3 linked regions of the Pelodiscus sinensis genome follow. The protein of the gene in region 2 interacts with the protein of the main gene of each other region in a biochemical or structural test. Links are inferred from orthologs where the notes say so. Each region holds a gene or a part of one and is shown on either strand. Other genes may lie near its edges. The genes, in order: KPNA4, KPNB1 and KPNA3.

Evidence for each region.
Region 1: the proteins of KPNB1 (region 2) and KPNA4 form a complex in vitro, tested with the Homo sapiens proteins (2 studies listed by BioGRID and IntAct, with this or other methods). The link is inferred for Pelodiscus sinensis from reciprocal best matches to the Homo sapiens genes KPNB1 and KPNA4.
Region 3: the proteins of KPNB1 (region 2) and KPNA3 form a complex in vitro, tested with the Homo sapiens proteins (2 studies listed by BioGRID and IntAct, with this or other methods). The link is inferred for Pelodiscus sinensis from reciprocal best matches to the Homo sapiens genes KPNB1 and KPNA3.

What each region holds. Positions count from the first base shown.
Region 1 is NC_134720.1:33,022,995-33,030,886, forward strand, and holds the start of KPNA4 (importin subunit alpha-3), read right to left. Parts: upstream 3,016-7,892; 5' UTR 2,829-3,015; coding exon 2,760-2,828; intron 1-2,759. UniProt on the Homo sapiens protein: Functions in nuclear protein import as an adapter protein for nuclear receptor KPNB1. Binds specifically and directly to substrates containing either a simple or bipartite NLS motif.
Region 2 is NC_134739.1:13,273,629-13,280,783, reverse strand, and holds the start of KPNB1 (importin subunit beta-1), read right to left. Parts: upstream 3,214-7,155; 5' UTR 3,052-3,213; coding exon 3,012-3,051; intron 2,895-3,011; coding exon 2,836-2,894; intron 1-2,835.
Region 3 is NC_134711.1:290,015,156-290,022,943, forward strand, and holds the start of KPNA3 (importin subunit alpha-4), read right to left. Parts: upstream 3,052-7,788; 5' UTR 2,315-3,051; coding exon 2,018-2,314; intron 1-2,017. UniProt on the Homo sapiens protein: Functions in nuclear protein import as an adapter protein for nuclear receptor KPNB1. Binds specifically and directly to substrates containing either a simple or bipartite NLS motif.

The sequences.
Region 1 (7,892 bases), on a different chromosome or scaffold from region 2:
GATAAAAAAAATCAACTGTTGCTAAAGCTTGACTAAATACAGCCATTACCAATATTTCATGCTGTAATGAAAAAATGTGATGTATAAACAATGAATCAGAATGATAGTCACACAAGCCTGAGCTACTATTTGAAAAATGATCATCCACAGTAGTTATTTTAAGTACTGAGCATATGTTCCAAGATCTGTTAGAGAGATGTCAGTCTCTAAAATTTAACAAGACTTAACAGCTTAACAATGTTTTCATTTTGCAAAATGCTACCTTAACAGCAAACCAAAAAACACATGGATGGCACATAGCCTACCAGAAATACAATAATGTTTAAAGGTAATAAACTCTACAGTATTACATATGTCAGTAAGACCTCAGCCAAATTTTTTGGTTTTATTTTAAAATGTTTCTCTCAAACAAGAAAAATAATGCCTATAAAATGCCTAAAAACAAAGAAGGCAGGAGAAATATTTTCAAATGGTTTCAATAATAGTTATCTTACAGGTTACTTGAAACAAATATAGGAAAAAAGTCCTCTCTTAAGAGGGTGATCTTCAAATCAGTGTGTGTCTTTAAAATTTCATCAATAACTAAAACTAAACAGGCTATCATCCAAATTATAAAAGTCTTATTTTTGTGGGAAGGATTCAGGATTAACATATGTATAGCAGGGATGTTAAATTTAGATTAATGGGCTAATCCAGTAGTCGGTGCAATTTGCATTGACTATTCCAGTAATCAATAAGGGCATCTCCACTTCTGAAGTGTAGTAACAGCACCAGGATTGTTGCTACACTTTAAAAGTGAAAGCACTGCGGGGAACATGGGGCCAGCAGGGGACTCAAGCAGTCCCCCATTGACCCCAAGCTCCCTGCAGTATTTCAAAGTGGCAGCGCCGCATGGAGCCTGGGGTCAGCAGGGGAGTCCCCAGCTAGCCCTGGGCTGCACGGCGTTTCAAAGCAGCAGCTCCGCGTAGAGCCCAAGGTCTGGCCTGGGCCCTATGCAGCACTGCCACTTTGAACCATCCCCTTTTCTTCCTCTCTCCCACTTGCTTATCGGACAGTTGACTAGTCATTCACATCCCTAATGTATAGTATGAGTTTAGAGAACCTACATTAAAATGCAAAGTTTAGGCATCCAACACAGCAGTGATTTAAGAGAACTTTGCATTATACTTTTCCATATAAAATAATATACAGAAGAGAATGAAGTATGAGGTTTGTTTTAAATAAAAACCTTCACAGCACCACTTCTGGAATTATAATACACCCTGTGCTTTTGTTTTTAGTATTTGGAGAGCAGCCAGCAAACAGCTCAACGGGGAAGGTACTTTTACACAAAGACAGCAGAACCCCATTTAACTAAGTCCTTTAATATTAAACTAATCTTTTATTTCCTGCATGCTTTACTCTCTCTTTCATTATCTGTCAATCCCAAACATTTCAGGTAAAGTTATACCGATATACTCAACCGAGTTCAAAACCTAGATGTTGGATCCTGGATTATTCCTTCATGCACAGGTAGAAAAGATTCCTTCCCCATGCCAATCAGTGAAAGAGAGCAACTCCATCCTTTACTTTCAAAAGCCAAGTTCTTCATGCCTTTGTGTCATCTCAACATTAGATTACACTATGCTCTACCACATCTTAAACCCATTCAGAAACTGAAGTTAGAGCAGAACACAAAGACCCACTTAAGTGGTTTTTTATGCAGCTAATACATTATGCCAGTGTTCTGGGATCTTACCTGGCTCCCAGAAGTTTGTGTGGAGTTCAAGGTGCTGACTTTAGAGACTGCTTTATGAAAAAAACATGAATTGCATAGGACTTGCTTACTTGACTAACTGTCTCTGTCCCATATGAAATTGTTAAGCTGTGGGAACTGCTGCATCAAAGGAGGACCAACTGCAGGACATTTTCCAATAAGGGTCTTCTTTGGCCTTCACTGCCATAACTGGGAAAAGCCATAACCTGAATGTGTTAGCCAAGCTATAAACCAAAACGGTTTTCATTACTATCTGGGAAGTGGATGACTGATGGTACTTGACCCCCTATTGCAACAGTGCCAAACCAAAGTGAGGTTGTACAAAAATATATTAGACTGCACTTGACTGTTTCTATAGTGCTGTAGCTGCACTTATGTTAATTCCATCAGTTTATATTTTGCATTTCAACTATGTACTGGCCTGCAGATACTCTGAAGAAAAAAACATAACCCGTACTAGGAAGGGCTAACAGTCAGCAGAACTCCGTTCATGTCAATAGCCACCAGTTTCTTACAGAGAAAATGACGACAAAGACCCCCGTGCCTCATAGCCACACACCCGTCAGCGTCCTCCCCGCTCCTCTCCCTGGTGTACAGCAAAACCAAGGGAGATAGCCACAGAAGGGAAATGCCGAAAGGCGTTAACTCCGCTGTCAGTGCAGACACTCCCCACTCCGGGCGGGCAGCCGCCCTCAGCCCCAAAGCTGTCCGAGGGTGGGAAGGAAAGGCAGCCTCTTCCCGGCAGGGGAAACGCAGGGCTCACTCAGCTCGTCCGTCCGCCCACCCCACCCAAGTAGCGCCCCTGCCCTCGTGAGGAGAAAGGGGAAGACACTCCCTCCCCTCCACAGCGGCGGAGCAGGCCTCAGCCTCGGAGCAGGCCCTCGGCTGATGCAGCAGCAGGAAGGCGGTTGTGCCGGAAGGGGGATTAGGAGAGACGCCAGAGCTCGGCGGCCCAGTCCCGCCGCCATGCCCGGCCCTTCCCGCGGGGTGCTGTGGGAGCTACCTCCAGGTCGCGGCCTTTGTTCTTGAAGTTCTTCAGCCGTTGATTATCCAGTTTCTCGTTGTCGGCCATGGCGGGAGAGAAGGAGCGCGGCCTCCTCCCGGGCCTGCCGGGATCCCCTGCCCGGCGCCGCCGCCGCCTCGCTCACTCGCACTCTCTTCCCGTCCGCGCTGCGGCCTGCGCCACTAGGCCGCCACTGCCGCCTCCGCACTTCCTGCCTTCCTTCCTTCCGGCCGCTCGCGAGCTCCGGCTGCCTGGGCGCCGGAATGTGCCGGTAACCAGCAAAGGGACAGAGCCGAGGGCGGGGGAAAGGAGGAGGTAGCCTCGATCTAGCAGGAGCTGGCCGAGGCTACGCCCACCCCTCTCTGCCGCGCCCTCCGATTGGCTGGGGAGGGGCGGGCCGGCGGCGAATGGGAGAGACGAGCGTGGAGGGAGGGCCGCGCTGTGGGAGGAGAGCGGGGCGGTGGCGAGCAGGGGACAGGGTAGGACGAGGCGCCGAGGGCAGGCAGGGAGATGGAGTTTCCTTCACGGCAGCCAGCGGGGTGCCCCCCTGACCCCTGCGCCGGGCAGCCATTTTGCGCCCCACGCTGTTAGAGCCGAGGGGCGCCCTGCCCGCCCTTTCCGGCAGCGGCTGCTGCCGTTGTTGACACAACTGAAAGTCGACAACAACGTGCGTCACCGCCTTCCTCCCTCCCCCTCGGCTGCTGCGCAGACGCTGGGGGCTGTGGAGGCTTCTCGGGGCACGAGACCGCTGCTGGGGGAAGGAGGCTGCAGGGGCTAGCAGCTGCTGGCTTAGTATTCTCTGTAGCTGTTAACAAGAGGTTTCTCTGCGTTTCTCGCCCTGCACTCGTGCAGAAACCAGCACCAGGGTAGGGGCGCTCAGCTTTCACTGCTGCTTCTTTTTCCTAACGCTGAATCGCTTCTTGTGTCTGCATCTACCTCCCCATCAACTGTGCACCCCCCAGTCCACCTCCTTCAGTCACGGTGGGATTCATGTGAGACTGGAATAGGAGTTCCTTGGAGTCAGTAGATACCTTGAGCCCAGTTGGGTGACTAGGGCTAAGAAGTCTCAGAGGTAGCTATGTTAGTCTGTAAGTGGGGAAAAAAAACTTAAAAAAAAACAACTAGGGTTGCCAGATGTCCAGTTTTGACCTTTCTGTCTGGGAAACAAATTGAGAAAATACTGGACATATAAATGTCTGGTATTTTCTAATTACGTTTTATTATCATCACTGGGTGAGTGTGTATACCAGCCAGGCAATACGCAACTACACAGTAGAGAGGAGGGAGCTGGGGCGGGGCCAAGGTAGGATGGCATCCTCAGGGCTGGATTTCCTTGTGCTTCACCAGGATTCACCGCAAGTTCCACCCCTGCTTTGCCTCCTCCAGTCCTGTTTATACCTCTTTCCCGAAGTCCCCTTCCCAGAGCTATGTGACCCAAGGGATTATGAGGGAGTGTAGCACGGAGTGGCAACGGGTCGCTCCCTCCTCTGTAATATAACGATTCAGTCTAGTCACTGCTGAGAGAGTATTGGATTAGAGCGATTCTTTTAGAACCAGAGCAATTTACAGCCCAAGAGTGAGGTCCTTCCCTATAAAGGCACCAGACCAGTCACAAAGAGCACTTCAGTGCCCTGTTTGGCCAGCAAGAAACCTCACAAGGCAAAACCTCTTAGACACCCCAGCGTTCCCTCTGCAACAGTCAGATCCACATACATAGGTGAGAGGTTATAAAACCCAATCTCACCAACTCCAAACAGGTTCTCCCAGTCTCAAAGGACCAGTCACAGTCCCAGGTCAATTTATATCTCAGATCTTACCCAAAAGAGCACACAATGCCAATCCTTTAGAATCTAAAATCTAAGGCTGTGTCTAGACTGGCATGATTCTGCGGAAATACTTTTAACGGAAAAGTTTTTCTGTTAAAAGTATTTCCGCAAAAGAGCATCTAGATTGGCACGGATGCTTTAGTGCAAAAAGTGCTTTTGCGCAAAAGCATCCGTGCCCAATATAGACTCGCTTTTGCGCAAGAAAGCTCCGATGGCCATTTTAGCCATTGAGCTTTCTTGCGCAAAAAATTAAGGTGCCTGTCTACACTGGCCCTCTTGCGCAAGTATTCTTGTACAAGAGGGCTTATCCCTGAGTGGGGGCGTCAAAAAATTTGTGCAAGAAGCACTGAATTCTTACATTGGAACGTCAGTGCTGTTGCGCAAATTCAAGCTGCCAGTATAGATAGCTGGGAAGTTTTTGCCAGTCTAAACGCACCGTAAAGGTTTATTAATGAAAGAAAAGGGTTGAGAGTGAGATTGTTAAAGAGAATACATTACATACATCAATCACCAAGTTCTTGATGCAGGCTCTTAGCAGAGATGTTACAAACTGCTAACTTAAAAGACTCTGGTGTACATCCTGTGTCAGGATGGGTCAACAAATCCTTCCTGGTTCTCTGTCCCTAGCAAGGATGCTTCTGGAATCAGGAGCAAGATTGAAGACAAGATGGAGATGCCCTCATGGTACTTTTGTATTCCTAGTGCCTCCCAAACTGGCATTTGTCACATGATCAAGTGACCTTTCTTTGTCTTTCATGCAAGTAGCCATGATAGACTTGCTCATTTGCAAGTTTCCAAATGCATTCCTCACGTGTATTGGCAACCTTGAGAGCCTCTGTCTATGCAGCATTGCTAATTAGCACAGCCATTCATTGGATAACCACTCCTCACAATATGTCATGGAAGTCCATTGCTGCCTCTCAGATGGAGAACATTTAAATACAAATACAGAGCCTGTATCCATAACATACATACAATAATCATACCAGCATATGAATAACATACTGGTCAGCATAACATAAGCTTTCATTTGACACCTTACACGGCCCACTTCGTACAGAATTTGGAGCAAACACACTAGTGGGTGCAACAATGATCTGCCTCCTCACCCTAAAATCCAATAACGTGACACTCCCTCATACTCACCATGGCAGCAGGAGCCTGAGAAGTGGAGCATCCCGATCTACTTTGCTTCCCAGAACTCTGCATCACTTAGGGGAATAGAGCAAGCTGGGGCTGGAGCACTTTGTTTTCTACCACTGCAGTTAAGAAGAACAACCCAGCTGGGAGATGACAGTAGTACAAGCTCCCGTCTGCTTCACTCTGCTTCCCAGGCTTCTGCCGCCATGGTAAGTGTGGGAGGCCTGGTGGCTGCTGTTGCACCATGCAATCGTGGCTTGACTTCGCGAACGAAGATCTAGGAAATCCACATCTTCTGCAGGCACGCTGGTGGCTGACGAGGCCTATGCGGGACAGGCAGGTCCTGCCACAACGGTTGCAAATATAGGTCTGATCCGAGATAGGTGCTGAGGGGTCACGGTTCTTCTTCCTTCTCCTTTTGTCCTCCATACAGGCCCTGCGGGTATCTTCGAAGAAGGAGGTGGACTGTGTGCCGCCAGGAGTTGCAATCAGCTGCTTGTGTTGCCCACTGATGGTGATCGATACAGCAAGCAGTGAGGGACTTCTTCAGGGAGTCTTTGTACCGCTTTCGTGGTGCCCCTATGTCGCGGTAGCCAGAGGACAGTTCCCCATACAGCACGATCTTGGGTAGGCGATGGTTCTCCATCCTGGTGATGTGCCCTGCCCAGCGAAGCTGTATCTTGAGGACCATGGCCTCGATGCTGGTGACCTCCGCTAACTCGAGGACTTCAGTGTTGGCGACGAAGTCACTCCAATGAATATTGAGGATTGTGCGGAGGCAGCGCTGATGGAAACGCTCGAGGAGACTCAGGTGACTACGGTACGTGACCCAGGACTCAGCGCCATACAAGAGAGTGGTCAGCACAACAGCTTTGTAGACGCTGACCTTCATGTCTCTTTTGAGGTTACTGTTGTTCCAGACACGTTTGTATAGTCTGCCGAATGCACTGTTTGCCTTGGCCAGCCTGTTATCGACTTCTTTGTCCATCTTGGCGTCAGACAAGATCACGCACCCCAAGTAGTTGAACTGGTGGACAACTTTCAGTTCTGTTTGTTCAATGAAGATGCTTGGTGGATGGTGCTCCTCGTGGGGTGCGGGCTGATGAAGAACTTCAGTCTTCTTCAGGCTGACTTCAAGACCGAAGATCTGAGCAGTTTTTGCGAAACAAGACGTAATTCGCTGCATAGCTGCCTCTGTGTGAGCAAGGAGGGCGGCATCATCAGCAAACAGCAGCTCCCTGATCAGTTTCTCCATGGTCTTTGTGTGGGCCTGCAAACGCCTCAGGTTGAACACGCTCCCGTCGAGACGAAAACGGATGTATATGCCATCAGCGTCGTCGAGGTCCTCTGTGACCTGCTGGAGCATGCAATACTCTTCTGGTAATCCCCCAGGCTGATGGCACCACAGGCTCCCTTCAATATGTCCATAAAACAGTCAGGGCAGCTGTCACAGGGTCTCCCAAAGCACAGGGCCAGGAGCGGCTGCCTCAAATCATCCTATGGATAGGATGACCTTGACTGCAGTACCAGACAGTAGTGACCTACAGCGAGCTGGTGCTGAAGGGTAGAAATGAGATGAACTGGGATGGGAAGGGAGAAAGCTTTGTCAAGAAGTTGCAGCAAGGTCAGAGCTACATGCCCTTGACTTCCTGCCATGAAACATTATTAATGTGGCCAAAACTTTACAGCTTCTGGTCGGGTTGATCCCACCTATTAGTGGTCACTTTCATTTACTTCATCCTGCAGTCAGGACTGAAAGATAGATTCATTCTAGCACAGCAGTGGGCAAATGTCAGCCTGCAGGCCTGATCCAGTTTGCCAGGTTTAGCCGCTGTATTTACCTGTACCTCCACAGGTAGAGGCAATTTCAGCTCCCACTGGCCGTGAATCACCGTTCCCAGCCAATGGGAGCTATGGGAAGTGGTGTCCCAGACTGCACTGCTTCCCACAGTTCCCATTGCCAGGGAACACTACAAGCATCCAAACCTGCAGAGGCACAGGTATATAGAATCATAGAATCATGGAGGTGGAAGAGACCTTAGAAAGTCATCAAGTCCAGCCCCCTGCCCTAGGCAGGACCAATCCCAACTAAATCAACCCAGCCAGGGCTTTGTCAAGCCGAGATTTGAAAATCTCTAGGGATGGAGACTCCACTACTTCCCTAGGT
Region 2 (7,155 bases):
TCAGACATGGTGGAAACAAGTCTTCCTGAAATTATTTTGCCTGATTTAGAATAGGATTTAACCAATTTTTTAAGTTGATGCAACTGCACTCAGTCAATAAAAAATTTTCTATTAGAAACCAGAGCCTAAGAAAGACTACTTAAAGTTGCTAGCAATAATTTTAAGCAGACAGTGCAGGCAAAAGAACTTGTGTTCTCTATGGTCCAAAATCTCACCAAAAAAGTTAATAAAGCTATCAAATTACCTGTTTTAACACCCAAAGTGCAGAGTTAGTAAACAAATATACAGTTTAAACCCCCCATTCAAAGCTAAATCAGCCTTGCAAAAATATCCTGACAAATGCAAGGCCCTAGGCACAAAAATCTACTTCTCTACCTTTTAGGATAATGAAAAAGCTGATTTTATTTATTGATCAAAAATGCATTCACGCTCAAGACAAAATTTTATAAGGCTGGATTAAATTAAAGGTGGGGAAAGCTTTCAGGAAAGATGGTTTTGGAATAGAAAGTGATAGTGTTGCAAGGACACATCCCTTGAAGGGAAACAGTGGGCTCAACTCCCAAAATGCTATATATCTGATGAAGATTACGCTAGGAAAATACACTATAAATGCGAATAGCCAAAAGCCATCAGTTCTTTATTCTCTCACCTGCCTGCCTCCCTTAAATGATCAGGGTATTTTTGTTTGTTTAAACTAGCAACAGCAGCTTTATTCATTCTAGGCCTGAACTCACAATTCTAATTTAGAATTTAATTCTTCTAAACTGCAGACCCAAACCCAAACTTAGTGTACATGTTCTCATGGCTTCCACACACACAGAAGCATTGCAACAAGATTCAGCAAAACCAACCAGCCTCAGACAGTTTAATCAGCTAAACCAAAGGATTCCTCAACATATCCCAATGTTTCAGTGGTGGGCTATGATTCATTAAACAGCTAGCCACAGAACTGGAATGAACATGAAACTATAAGCCCAATTGTTAACGACTCTGATTGCCAGAAGGTTTCACAAACCTTTAACATTAAATTATGTATCAAAAAGCTGCACAGCTTGCATTAATGCTGGTGAAGAGGAAATGTAGAAGGGTGGCTGAAAAATATTCAACTTTTACCTCCCATTCATCAGGGTGCATCTACACTGCCAGGCTTAACTCGAAATAAGCGACGCAAACTGACTTACATCAATTGCATATCTTATTTTGAAATTAGGAGCATCTACACAGTACTTATTTCAAAACAGAGCACCCTTCCTCTGACTTCCCTTACTCCTAGTACAATGAGGGTTACAGGATTCAGAGTAAAAAGTCCTCTAGCTTGACAGTATTTTGATATTATTTCAAAATAACTGCCTGCTGTGTAGATGCGGACCAAGTCATTTTGGAATAGCACTAGTTTATTTCGAAATAGTGTTGCAGTGTAGATGTATACTCAGTCAAGTCAGTGACAATCTTTACAGTAGCAAACAGGAATGCAATAATTCTCCCATATTTAATCACCCAAAAGAACCAGAGATTGCCTCAAGGATGAGTAGAGTAACAAGGCTAGGAATCAGGCCCTTACACCTTTTTTTAGTGTAATAGTTGTAACGTTGTACCTTAATTAGGCAAACATATGCTAACGGTAGAAAGTATTTTTAACTTTTCTGCACAATCCTCCCTTGAGTTTAATAGGTGTGTAGGATGCTAAGACATGCTACACACAACATGCTAATGGGAGTGTGCCATTTGTAGATTGAGTACCCTTTTCCCCTGGAACAAAGTAGCCCCCACCCTTTCCTTTCTCCCAGGGGTGGGGAACCTTTTTTTGGTCAAGGGCCGCACACAAGTGAGAAGAAAAAAAAACCTAACGAAAATCCACACCCCTCATTGATGTGCCCCCCCCAATGAGAAGAAAGTCACTCTCAACATTCTCCACACATAGCAGAGCCTTGGAAAGCCCAGGCTAGTAGAGTGTGTGTGTTCCAGCCCCACAGGGGCTGGAGCACCATTGCAGACTCCCCGATACTAGGGGGAGAGGGAGCCCTAAGCCTCAGTGGCCAGATCCAGGAAAGCTTGGGACTGAATCTGGCCCCAAGACATGAGGTTCCCCACCCCTGCCTGAAACCTATTCTAAATCTGTTCTAACTCCACCCAGGACAGTAGACAGGGGTCCCAACCCGGGTGACCCCTTCACCTTCTGGCTTCTTACCTCTGGGTCAGAGACGGGGGTGGGAAGGAGGGGAGAAGCGCCCCCTTCAGAAGAGAGCAGAGGGTTGCTTCAGGGGGAAAGGGGAGCGGGATCTGAACAGGGTGCAAGAACCAAGGGCCCAGCAATGAAAGGGGAACAGGATGCAAGAATCGAAGGCCCGGCCCGAGGGAACCAGATGGGCCTGGCCCAGTGGGGAAGGGGAAGGGGGAAGGCCTAGGGGGGCAGGCAGGGAAGGCCCAGCATGGGAGGCACGTGATGCAAGGGGGGGGGTGAAGGAGCAGGCTCCGCAAGGGGGGGAGCGGGGCCCTATGGCGCTGGAGGGCGCTAGGGGGTGTCCCAGCCCCCCCCCCGGCCCGCGCTCCCCACATGGCCCGCAGGCCCCAGCGCAGCACACGCAGCGCGGCGCAGCCTACCCTCCCCCTACCCCCGGCTCCGCGCTCCCATTGGCCCGCGCGGCTCGCGGGCGCGCCGCCATTGGCCGGCCGCCGCCCCGGCTGGGCGCTGGCAAGTTGGGCTGCGCCCTCGATGGCGGTTCGGCCTGCGCGGGGCAGGGCGGGGCGCTCCCTGCCCGCGAGGGGGGAGGGGTGGATGGGATATCGAGGGGGGGGGGACCCCGCTGCCGCCCGCCCGGCCCGCGGGCCGCTCACCAGGTTCTCGATCGCCGCCTGCTCCAGGAACTTCTGCGCCGCCTCCAGCTCCGAGCGGTCTGCGGGGAAGCGGGAGCCGGAGTCAGTCCCCGCCGTGGGGCCCCCCCCCCCCGCTCCGCCCCTCCCCCCCCGGCCCGGCCTCCCCTCAGCCTCCCCCCCCACGTGCCGGCCCTCACCCGGCGAGACCGTCTTCTCCAGGATGGTGATGAGCTCCATGGCGGCGGCGCGGGGCGGCTCCTGCGGCGCGGGGGGGCCCCCGGGGCGGGCGGCGGCTCCGGGCTGTGGCGGGCGCCGGCGGCGGAGGGAGAAAGGGCCGCGCGGCAAAAGGGGGGGGGGACGGGAGAGCGCGCGCGCGTGTGCGCGCGCACACACACACACACCGACGAGGCGGAGCGGGAAGGGAGGGGGGGAAGGAGGGAAAAGAGAAAAAGGAAGGGGCGGGCCCGAGCCAGCCGCGCGGGCGGAGGGAGAGGGCCAGAGCCGGGCTCGCGCCGCGGGCGCCGCACGCTCTCATTGGCTGGCGGCGGCCCTCACGCTCGGCGCTCATTGGGGGCCGGGGCGCGCGCGCGGCCATTGGCTGAGCCGGCGGAGCGGGCCGCCCATTGGCCGGGCTGGGCGAGGGCGGCCCAGGGAAGCGGATGGAGGGGCCGCAAGCAGAAGGTCCTGAGGGGGAGGGGCCCAGTAGGGCCAGGGGCCGTTGGGGGAGGGGGGCTGAGGAGGGACCAGTAGGGCCAGGGGCCGTTGGGGGGGGGGGCTGAGGAGGGGCCCAGTGGGGCCAGGGGCCGTTGGGGGAGGGGGGCTGAGGAGGGGCCCAGTGGGGCCAGGGGCCGTTGGGGGAGGGGGGCTGAGGAGGGTCCGGGGCTGCTGGGGGCCCCACTGGGCCTTACCTTCCTTGGCCCCACCCCCAAGGGCCGCTGGCCCACTGGGTCCTCAGCAGCCATTGTGGGGGGGCAAGAAGGGGCCGTTGGGGGGGGGGCCCAGAGGGACCAGGAGCTGCTAGGGGAGGAGGAGGGAGGTGGGACCCAGCAGGGCTGGAGGGGGGATGCGGCCAGGAGTCGCTGGGGAGGAGGGGGCAGAAGAGGGTGGACCCTGCCCTGAGGGGCAGAAGCTGCTGGGGGGGCCTGAGGGGGTGGGGCCTAGTAGGCCAGAGGGGCTCCTGGGGGATTAGCAGGGGGCCATCAGGAGCTGCTGGGTTCTAGAGGACTTCTGGGGGTTTGGCCATAGGGGCAAGGAGCTTCTGGGGCTCTGTCAGACTGGAGCCATAATAGAAGTTATGTAGGGCCTGGGGCTATAGGGAAGGACTTGAAGAGAGTGGGCCCTAGGCACTGGTGCTATACTGGAGGGGAATGACTGAAGCAACAGCACGCAGAGGAAGATGTAAGAAACTCATAATGGACAATTCTGGAATCCTCTGCCCACTGCAGCAGTGCCATCATAAGGTCAGGCAGCTAGTAGTTGGTTTTTGCTCTAATGCAAGAGAATTTCTAGCCCAGATGTAATGATCAGGCTAACAGCTGTGGATTATCTGCTTTTCAATAGGAGCTGCAGCTCAAGTGGCTGGGTTATAGAAGCTAGGTCTGGGAAGGCTGGTTTATTTCATCACTGCTTGGTACGAAGGAGACACTGTCATGGGTAGGTTCCACAGCTTGTCCATCAGAGCCTTCATTTCTCATGTTCCTCCGAAACATCTGGTTGGTGCAGTCTGCTCTTGGAGACTAGTTGCTGAATGAAATGGATTGTTAGAGCCCCCACAGCCTAGCTGGGACTCAAGCCAGTAGGAGCTACCTCTTCCTGGCTCTGTTCTATTGGCCAGGTCTCCGTTTTTCTGTATGTAAAATGGGGGTAATGCTACTGACTGACTCTAGAATTGCCTTGGGATTGACTGATGAGCAGAACAAGGTGATATTTATTTTATTAGAATTGATAATTATCACTTACAGGGGGATGTGGGACCTGGAGGCTTGTAGGGAAGGGGTAGTTTTGAGGAGAGGGCAAGAACCTGCTGAGGTTGAAAATACTGCAGAGACTATGGGAAATGGATTAAAAGGGTTTGTAGTTATATTTGTAATAAAATATTCCCTGGGGACAAAAACCACAGTGCAGGGAAGTGCTGAGATGAAAGCTTTTTTTGGGGGGAGGGGGGTCCTTTCCAGCCCTCCCCCCTTCAGAGGGCATTATAAACATTGCGTATATACAATGGAAGAGGCAAGAGAATGGTGTGAATGCAGTCACTCTTTTCCCCCATTGTCTGTGGCTATATATAATGGCTTCATATAGGTGAAGAACACTGGGCTAGTGGGGGGATTATAGGAGTTGTCCATCTAGGATGGGCTAACCTGAGGACTGGGTAAATTGGGCCCATGCCCAGGGTGCCATAGCCAGAGGCTGAGGGGCAACGGAGCATGGGGTTTTGTTGGGCAAAGAGAGTGAAGGGTGCTGAGCAGGGTGGCAGGACATGCTGGAAGTGTAGGGTCAGAGTTAGGGGCACAGGTGGGCGGAAAGTGCAGGAGTTGGAATGAAGGGGGCACAATGTAGGGTTAGTGGTAAAGAGAGCACAAGATGGGGGGAGGTCAGGGGAGCCCATGGGTACCAGGGGAAATGGGGGAATTATGCCCACAAGGGTCAGGGGCCCCCAAAACAAGTTTGCCCAGGACCCCATTCTCCCTGAGGCTGGCCCTGCTTGATGTTAAACCCTTGTTCCTTGGGGCTGATAGTGATGCTCTTGTGGAAATGCAAGCTCCCATGTTGCTTTTTGAAAGTGCAAGGAATAATGGCATCTGGGCCTGTGCAACATCCCTCTTTCCAGTAAAACTGGGTAGAGTTAAGTTTTACAGAGCTTTGCGTTTTCAGTGTGTTCTATAAACATGTATTAAACCCCCCACATTCTCCTAGTCCCCATATTTGGGAGAAGAGGGTGACTAACAGAATGAGGACATGACCTGAGATCACATAGACGGGGCGATATGTATGCAGACCATAGCACAGGACATGGTGTAGCAAGATGGGTGAGCAGTACCAGCGACGAGGGACGCAGTTAAGGAAATAGCCCCAAAAAAATTCTTCCTCGGCAAGCTGTATCTTCTTACAGAAAGCCCATCCCACAGAAGAACAGCCACCCTGGGTCAGACCAAAGATCCATCTAGCGCAGTGCTCTGTCTTCTGACAGTGGCCGATGCCAGGTGCCCCAGAGGGAGTGAATAGAACAGGGAGTCCTCTAGTGATCCCTCCCCTGTCATCCATTTTCAGCCTCTGACAGAGGCTAGCGATACCATTCCTAACCATCCTAGCTAATAGCCATTGGCGGACCTAACCTCCATGAATTTATCTGGTTCTTTTTTTAACCCTGTAAAGTCCTGGTCTTCTCAACATCACCGACAGACTGAGGAACAATCCCCATCCCGCTGCTTTTCACAACTAACTCTGTAAAACTTCCCTTGGGTGAGGTACCCAAACACTTATGCTCTACTACTTAAAAACTTACCCTCTTAAATCTGGGTCAATGCATCTTGTAACTTTCTAAGTGAGACTTGTAATTCTTGAGGATCCAGGCTTGACCCCAAGAGCCTTTCCTCTAAGCCTGTGTAGTAGGAATTTTGATTTCAAACACTAGCTTTAATATACATTTGTAAATCTCTCATGCCCACATCCACCCGAGCAGCAGCATCCCTCCGGAGCAGTGTGACGTCCCATGTCCTTTCTACACTGAGGGAGGCAACAGGGCCTCAGGGTTCACCCAGTTAATCTGAGGGAAAGTCCAGGCAGTGACAGAGAAGAGCTTGGAAAGATGAATCTGGGAAGAAGGCCAGCTCCAACTGGAGCTGAAATCACAGAGCTGGAAGCAGTTACTGCTTCTTTCTCTGTGGTTCCTGGGAAGCTCAGGGCTGTGGGCCTCCAGTTCCTGTCACAACCCTAAAGAATCAGAAAAACCTCATGGAAAAGCCCATCTTACAAAAAGCCTTGGCAGGATTTCTGGGTGAGTTATCTGAAAAATTGCAATGAAGACAAGGCAGAAATTAAGATGACTTAGACCATGAGTGCAGCAGGGCTTTTTGGGTCTGTGTGTGTACAGCACCTAACACACTGGGTCCGTCTGGTCCAGGACTGGGGCTCTGTGGTGGTACTGCACTAGAAGTGGTAAACAACAATGCAGCTTGGTCTCCTCCCAGGTTTTGTACTTGTATCAAACAGCTTTGTCAGTGCTAGGGAGATTGGGTGGAAACAGTTGTACCCGTACAATCAATCCTAGCAGAAAGGGGCCTTTGATCACTGGCACAAATTAGGAATGGCTGTCTGTGTGTAAAGCACCTTTGTACCAGTAAA
Region 3 (7,788 bases), on a different chromosome or scaffold from region 2:
AAAAGGCATAAGTTTATTTTTCTCTGCAGTTATATGACACTACTGCTAGAAGATCCATATTCTACTTCAAGAACCAGGTTTGTTGTGCTTTAGAAAGAATAACTTGTATACATGCCAAACACAAGCCAGGACAGTTTTCACAAACAGACTAGCATGGTTTAATTTCTATCCAAGACTATAATTCAGGGTTAAAACACCCAAATTTAGCAGTCAGAGTACATCCAGTTCAGGGGTGGGTAATAATTTTTAAAGAGGGGCCATTTCACCAATTTCTGAAGTGGCCCTGGGCCATCCCGTGCTCACTCACCCACAGACCTTGATTGGCCTGGAGAGGGTGGGGGGGGGGGGGGGGAGAAGAAGCATGTGAAGTCTTTGCCCCCCATTCCTCCCCTAGGTGCCTAGAGAGAACTGGCAGCTGTTTTGAACAGTTAGTGGTTCATTCTAGGTGCTGCATGCCCCTGGAGGCAAGAAGAGACTTCACATGCTCCCCCACCCCCAGGCCAATCAGGGAATGGGGGGAAGAGAACATGAAGTCTTTGCCCCATGCCCCCACGCTGCAAGGGGAGCGCAGCACCTAGAGAGAACTACCAGCCATTCTGAACAGCTGGCGATTCCCTCTGGTGATTCATGCCCCTAAGCAGGGGGAGGGGACTTTGTGCGCTCCCCGATCCCCAGGTCTCTATTGGCCTGAGGGTGGGGGAGTGGTAGGGCGACCACAGACCAGATCAACTGGCTTGGCAGGCCAGATCCAGCCCACAGAGGCTGTCTTGTTACCCCGGTCTAGCTTCATTGTAAGAACCATCCAGCTAGCAAAATGGTTTGCCACAGTAACTGGGCCTATAATGAGAAGCAATCAAAGGCATGACGGCTCTTGCAGTGCAGACAGGCCCTGAGTGTTTTAATTTTTTTGTGAGGTTTACTTGTGAAAAATAATAAAAATGGGTATTATGCACAAAAGCCATTTTAAGTACAAACTAAAGGAGTAAGTCCACGTGAATGTTGGCATCAAACGTTTCAGCACTACTCAAGCAACAGCTGCTTATGGCGCTACTCTTTGGCTGAGTTAGCCTTTGACAAAGTATTTGCTTATATAATTCTAAGCAGATTCTAATCCTACTCCAACTGGGTGTCAGTCTTGGCAATTCTTGAGGTGTGTAAATGTGGCTTGTGTGAATCATGAGCAACATGAAAGACCTGATTTGGGAAGGCTCAGTTTCCCATGAGCTAGATCTACACTGCATTGGTTAGTCGGAAAAAGAAACAATTTGCGTATCTTTTTCTGCTTTACTGTCAAAAGAGGCTCTCTCGAAATTTTGCATGTCTACATGGCTCCAAACTTTGGGGGAAAAATGTTCTTTCGATACCTCCCTTCTTCCTCATAAAACAAGGTTTACAGGGATGGCAAAAAAGCGTGTCTGCTTTTTTAAATTTTTTTCCGAAAAAGTGGACGCGCTCCTTGGATATCTGGTATCCCAGAAAAGCACTGGAGTCTAGATGTAGCCATGCTCAGTGGCAAGAGAAGATCATTTAGGTAAGGGAATGTTGTAGCCTTCTCAGGTGCCCTTTCTCCCTACCCAGAAAAGCTTGCATAAAAATAAGATCTTGGGCAGTGGTCTAAAACTCAATTTACCTTAGGGCCAAGTGTCAGTCCTCAAATCTTGCTAGTGGGCCAGCGGGCACCCCTCTCTAGCAGAGCTTCAGGGAAAGAGGGGCTCCATGTGTTTCCCACACTCATGTCTCCCAGCCCCACCAGCATCCCCCCCATGAGATTTCTCACACACACACACACCCTGGTGCTTTCACAGGCAGTGCAGCGAGGCTAGAGTGGCCCGTCCCTGTGGCCCAGAGAGGTATTTGCTGAGCCATCCCATCTGTAGGACGGTTTGGTGCAGCTGCCCTTGTGCTTTGGGGGGCCCTGGAGTGGCTGCTCTAACCATCCAATGGATGGGATGGTTCCCCATACTAAGCCTGGAGTGCCCTGGGCAGGCTGCAGCTGAAGTCACCCTTCCATACTCACTGTGGCAGTGGAAGCTGCAGGGAAACTGAGATACACAGATTGCTGATGTCGCCCCATACTAGGGCCCCCAGTAATCCCTAAAGCTATGTCACTCAGAAGAGGGGGCTTGAGAGAAGGGTTGTACTGGGGGGAGAGGGCAGAGCAGGGGCAGGAGCTGTAGTTGGGGGAAGGGTATGGGCAGCCCCCAGAGCCACAGCAACTCATGCTAGCAGCCGTGTGCAGGCTGGATTGTGGAACTACTCGGGCTGCAGATGGCCCCTGCTCTATGGAGTTGGGCAATTCTAGAATCTGTGTCATAGTCCTTTGTTACAGATTCAGACAGGCACTAGAATGGCTGGTTGTAACCACAGCATTTTGAGTTTGTTTCAGCTTACTGTTGAACTCTGATGTGCTACCTTGAGATCACTGGGCCAGCTCCCTTTTGCATCCTCAGTAGCAGAGACCTGCACATGAGCCTTTTTGCCAACTCTTACTATTCACAATTAATAATGTGTATTTGGCTCCTACTGGAGCCAATCTCATGAAGACACAAGCAGCCTATCCATGGGGAAAAAATCCTTCTGAATGGCTGTTTTTCCCCATTCCCGGGATAAAGCAATCCAATTAGGGCTGTAGCCTGTGTGGGAGAAGGAGATGAAGAACCCCTAGCAGGAAGGACAAGACAGACCCAGCAATGGGGCAAATCATAGAATTAATTTTGAGTTTGGGAAGCAGCTGGAAGCGCTGCACCATCAGCAAACAAAAAAATTCCTTCAGGAAACCAGAATGACCTTATTTTAGAAATTTGGGAAGGATGCAACATTCACACTGAAACAAGGGGAATTTTTAAAGAGGACCCACAATGTAATCTTTTGAAAATAAACCATGATTTGGGGGAATCTGGTTTGCAATTTTTGATCTTTTGGTTTGAAGCCATAAGCTAACTCCTACATAAAACCTGCAACTGCCCTAAGTTCCAGTAAAAGAAAAATAAACACACTGAGGAAACCAGGTCAGAGGACAGATATTAACTTTAGCAAACATCAAAAGCACCAAGCAAGGATAGCCTTACTGGCCTAAACTGATCTATGTCTACACAGCAGCATTATTTCAGAATACCGGACATTATTCCAAAATAACATCATCCATGTCTACACACAAGCAGTTATTTTGACTTAATGTAGAAATAATGTTGAGTTGGAGGACTTCTTACTCCGACTCCTGCAACCCTCATAGTACGAGTATAGGAAGTCGAGGAAGAGTGCTCTATTTTGAAGTAAGTGCTGTGTAGACATTCCCAAATTCAAAATTAGCTTTTTTGACTTAAGGTATGCAATTAGCGTAGCTCAAATTGCATAGCTTAGTTCAAGGTTAGCCCTGCTGTGTAGACATACCCTAATTGTTTTCCGTTTCAGAGATTACAATTCCACTGACAATGATCAGTAGCAAGGCCTCTCAAAGCTTAAATTTTTATGTGAATTGTAGCGCTCTCATATTTCCTGTTACTAGACTAGAGTTTAGGTGACATCCTGTTATATTATAAACACATTAACTTAATTTTAGCCCCCTCTATTTTTGACCATAAAAATATAAATGTAACACATTAAAACTCATGGGGAAAGCCTTTACTGGTCCTATCTATAGTAGAGAAAGTTTGCAGAAGTCCCTACTATTGTCAACACTGATTCAGCTTCACCTACAGCAGTGGTCCCCAACCATTGGGAGGTTGCCAGGTGCCAGGGGGCATGGCCGTTCACCCGCCGGGCGCCAGAGGGTGGAGACACTTGCGTGCCCGGGGGCGGAGGCCCCCCCCATGCACCGCGTGCCCGGGGTCCCCTCCAAGGGCCGCGTGCCCGGGGGCGGGGTCCCCAGAACTGCGCGCCCAGGGCTGACACCCCCCCCCCAAGCACCGCATGCCCGGGGCTGACACCCCCGCCAAGCGCCGCACGCCCAACACCCACCACCCCAAAGTGCCATGCGCCCGGGGCCGGAGCTCCCCCGCAAGTGCCGCGCGCCCAGGGCCGGTGCCCCCTCCAAGCGCCGCACGCCCAGAGCGCGGGCGGCCAATCTGCGGCGCTCCCAGGGCCGGCGCTCACCGTGCGCCCAGGACCGGCTCCAGCACCATGCATGCGCGATGTGCCTGGGGCCAGGCCAGCCCCGAGCACTTGGCGGGGGCACACAAATGCCCCCGCAGGCACCATGGCGCCCGCGGGCACCGTGTTGGGGACCACTGACCTATAGGAACAACTTCGGAAGCCTATAAGTGTGCATCAACACTGCACCTGTACAAAATCTTACAAAATAAGATATGCAATGTGAACTACATAAATTGCATATCTTATTTCGATCTAATTTTGAAATAGCTTATTTCGAAATAATAAACTGCTATTCCAAAATGTTCCTTAACTGTCCCTTAATGCTCGTGGAATGAGGGCTACAAAGATGTCATAATAGCAGGTCCATTATTTCATTTCAAAATAATGGGCTGGTTTAAAAGACGCAGAAATAGCGCAGTAGTCTAGACGTACCCTAAGAGAACAGACAACAGCAGTGTAGACAAGGCTATTACGACAAATGTAGAATGCACTATGGTAGCCATATTGGTCCCAGAATATTGAGAGACAAGATGGATGAAGGAATACCTTTTTGGAATTTTATTTGTATTTTATTAAAATGCAGAACAGACAAGGATTCCTATTTTTGAACACTGAACCATACCACCACCTCAGCAACCAAGCAAGGTCCACAAGTGCATTCATACTACAAGAAACAAGCAGTGAAGCTGCAATAGGTTTAACCTCAAGGCAGAGAAATAGACTACTCTCAATATGCCACATTTTCTGGCCAATTTCTGCCATAACTGTCCTTGTCAGAAGATGCACAGAGGATGATAAATTATAAGAAGCACCAACTGTCTAATCTTTAATGAACTGTTACCAGTGACTAGGTTTTCATATAGCACTATGGTCAAGAAAATAGCACTAAATGCAACATATGCCTACTTTTCATCCCCATCATGTGCCTCGAGTTTAAAGCCCCAATTTAGCCACAACACTTTGCTGAACCAGTGGGCCTTAAGCAAACCACACATGATGGGATGAAATGTAGTCCTCAGTTATCAAAACCAGCACTGAGATTATTTCCACGGCACTTAAGAAGATTGTATTTCATGACGTATATGCAGGAAAATGTAAAGGAATTTCTTTAGATGTTAATTTCTTTGCTTCAAGAAAATATATAAACTAAACACGGAGAATTTGGAAAAGAATATTAACACATTTGTATGTACTGTTTACTGAAAGGGGAAACCCGGTAACAGAGTCTACTTCGTTGCAAATTTCATCCTTCAGTAGAAATTGACTTTGTTGTACAAAAATTCAAGCTGCAGCTTATTAGACTTGGATTTGTCTCCTTCGTGCCACTTCAGTGGCTAGTTTCCTCACCATGGACTCTTATGATGTTCAGGGCTTACCCAGAACCTTATGTCACATTCCCACATAGCCCCCAGTGTAGCTGTGCCCCATGGGAGAGAAGGGAACAGTGCTGCAGTGCGTTTTGGCTACTCTGGGCTGGTATCCAAATTCTGGGCCTTAATGGAAGACACAAATGTGGTTTAAAGCCATAGTTCTAGCCCTCGCCATGTTCCAGGACCCAATTCAGAACTGGGGTAAAAGTCTACAGCCAGGGTTTACAATAATTGGTTTTATTAATTTGGGAAGGTGGATTGCATTGTTCAAATATTTAAAGAAAACTATATATTTAGAAAATTGGACCTGGTTTTCTCCAACTGTTGCCAACCCCCATAGCTAGAAAGATCAGACTAGACAAAGCTAAATAATGTAATGAAAATGAAATATAGGCAGTCCCCGACTTACGCGGATCCGACTTATGTCGGCTCCGCACTTACGAACGGGGCTTTCTCGCCCCGGAGGTCGAGGTGGCGGATTGCTACCTGCGAGCTCCGGGGCGAGAAAGCCCCGTTCGTAAGCTGCTCCGGTGCCCCTGGTCTGCTGGAGACCGTCTCCAGCAGACCAGGGGCACCGGGCGGGTTCCCGCGCTTCTGAGGCTTTGCCAGAGCAAAGCCTCAGAAGTGCGGGGAACTGCCGCTGCTGTCGCTTCAGTCCCGGTGCCTGTGGTCTGCTGGGGACCGTCCCCAGCAGACCACAGGCACCGGGACTGAAGCGGCAGCTGCGACGGGTCCCGCACCTCTGAGGCTTTGCCAGAGCAAAGCCTCAGAGGTGCGGCACCCCGCTGCCGCTGCGGCTCTGCTCCCCGTGTCCCTGGTCTGCTGGGGGGGGGGGGAGGAGCGCAGCTAGTGTGCCCCCCCCCAGTAGACCAGGCTTTTGTTTTGGACCCTGGGGCAGAGCAGCTGGGGCGCTGCCGATTGGTCCTGCAGCGCCGCTCTGGGCACTACTGGACCAACCCGGCAGCACCCCAGCTGCTCTGCCCCAGGTCCTGATTCAGCCGCTGCTGGTCAGTTTCAGCAGCGGCTGAATCAGGACGCCTGGGGCAGAGCAGATGGGGTGCTCTGCTCCAGGCGTACCCAAGTCAGCTTCTGCTGAAACTGACCAGCGCTGACTACAGGAAGCCCGAGGCAGAGTTGCTCTGCCCCGGGCTTCCTGGAATCAGCTGCTGATCAGTTTCAGCAGCAGCTGACTTGGGGACGCCTGGGGTTCTTAAGTTGATTCTGTATGTAAGTCAGAACTTGCGGTCAGTTTCAGCAGCCGCTGAATCTGGACGCCAGTTCTGACTTGCATACAGATTCAACTTAAGAACAAACCTACAGTCCCTATCTTGTACGTAACCCGGGGACTGCCTTTATCTAAATTTAATAAAAGCAGAGAGATCTATTTTCTAGCCTAGAAAGACAGGACTAGTGATGTTAATCATTTTATTGATATGCTGATGTCCCAGAGGCAGCAGCAGGTTCTCTGGTGAGGAAGCATTTAACAGGGCCTTAAGGCAGTGTTTCTTGAGGCAGTCAAAGGTGTGCCACAGAGAACAACAGAATTCAGAATGGCCACTCTTAAAGGGGCAGGCAACCTTTTTTTTTTTGCTCAATAACTCCCCCAGACTTTTTTTTGGCGCAACAAAAAAAGCCTTGGTGTTCCTCAAAAAAAATTGTTTGGGGTTCCTCGGTATTAAAAAGTTTAAGAAACACTGCCTTAAGGAAATCTGATATCACTGGATAACAGTCAGCAGACAACTGTACAGGCAAATAGCAAACCATGTTCACAACAGTGAGATGAATCAATAGACCTGAACAGATCGGAACATTACAAATGCAACAAATAGTCAAGGAACTATGGTTTTGAAACTTGCACATAGTATTTAGGATGCTTTTGACATGCCCAAATCAGCTGCTCTTCCATTTTGATTAATAAGTTATCTGGTGATGGTCTTCCTGCCCTGTATCAGGATCTTCTAGACACTAACATCCAGGCTATCAGGTGCCAAGAGTATATGACTATGGTACTATTAGATCAGGTCCAGACAGTCTGGGAGCACGGCTGAATGGACATCTGTAGCAGGTCTGTCAGCCAAAAGTGCTTTGGCCAGGAGGGAGCCATGAGAATAACGGTGAGTTTGTTTCTTGATTTTAGAAGTTAGTATAGGTATCAGGGAAACAGATGAAAAGGCAAAAAGAAATCTGGACCTCCAATGCAGAAAGCATCTGGCAATACCACCAGGCTCATGCCCCCTATGTAACAAAGTAACACTTGGCAATGTCCTGGGCAGTAAAAAGCTCCATCATGGGAACCCCTCTATGGTGAATTCTAGGCTGTATCATA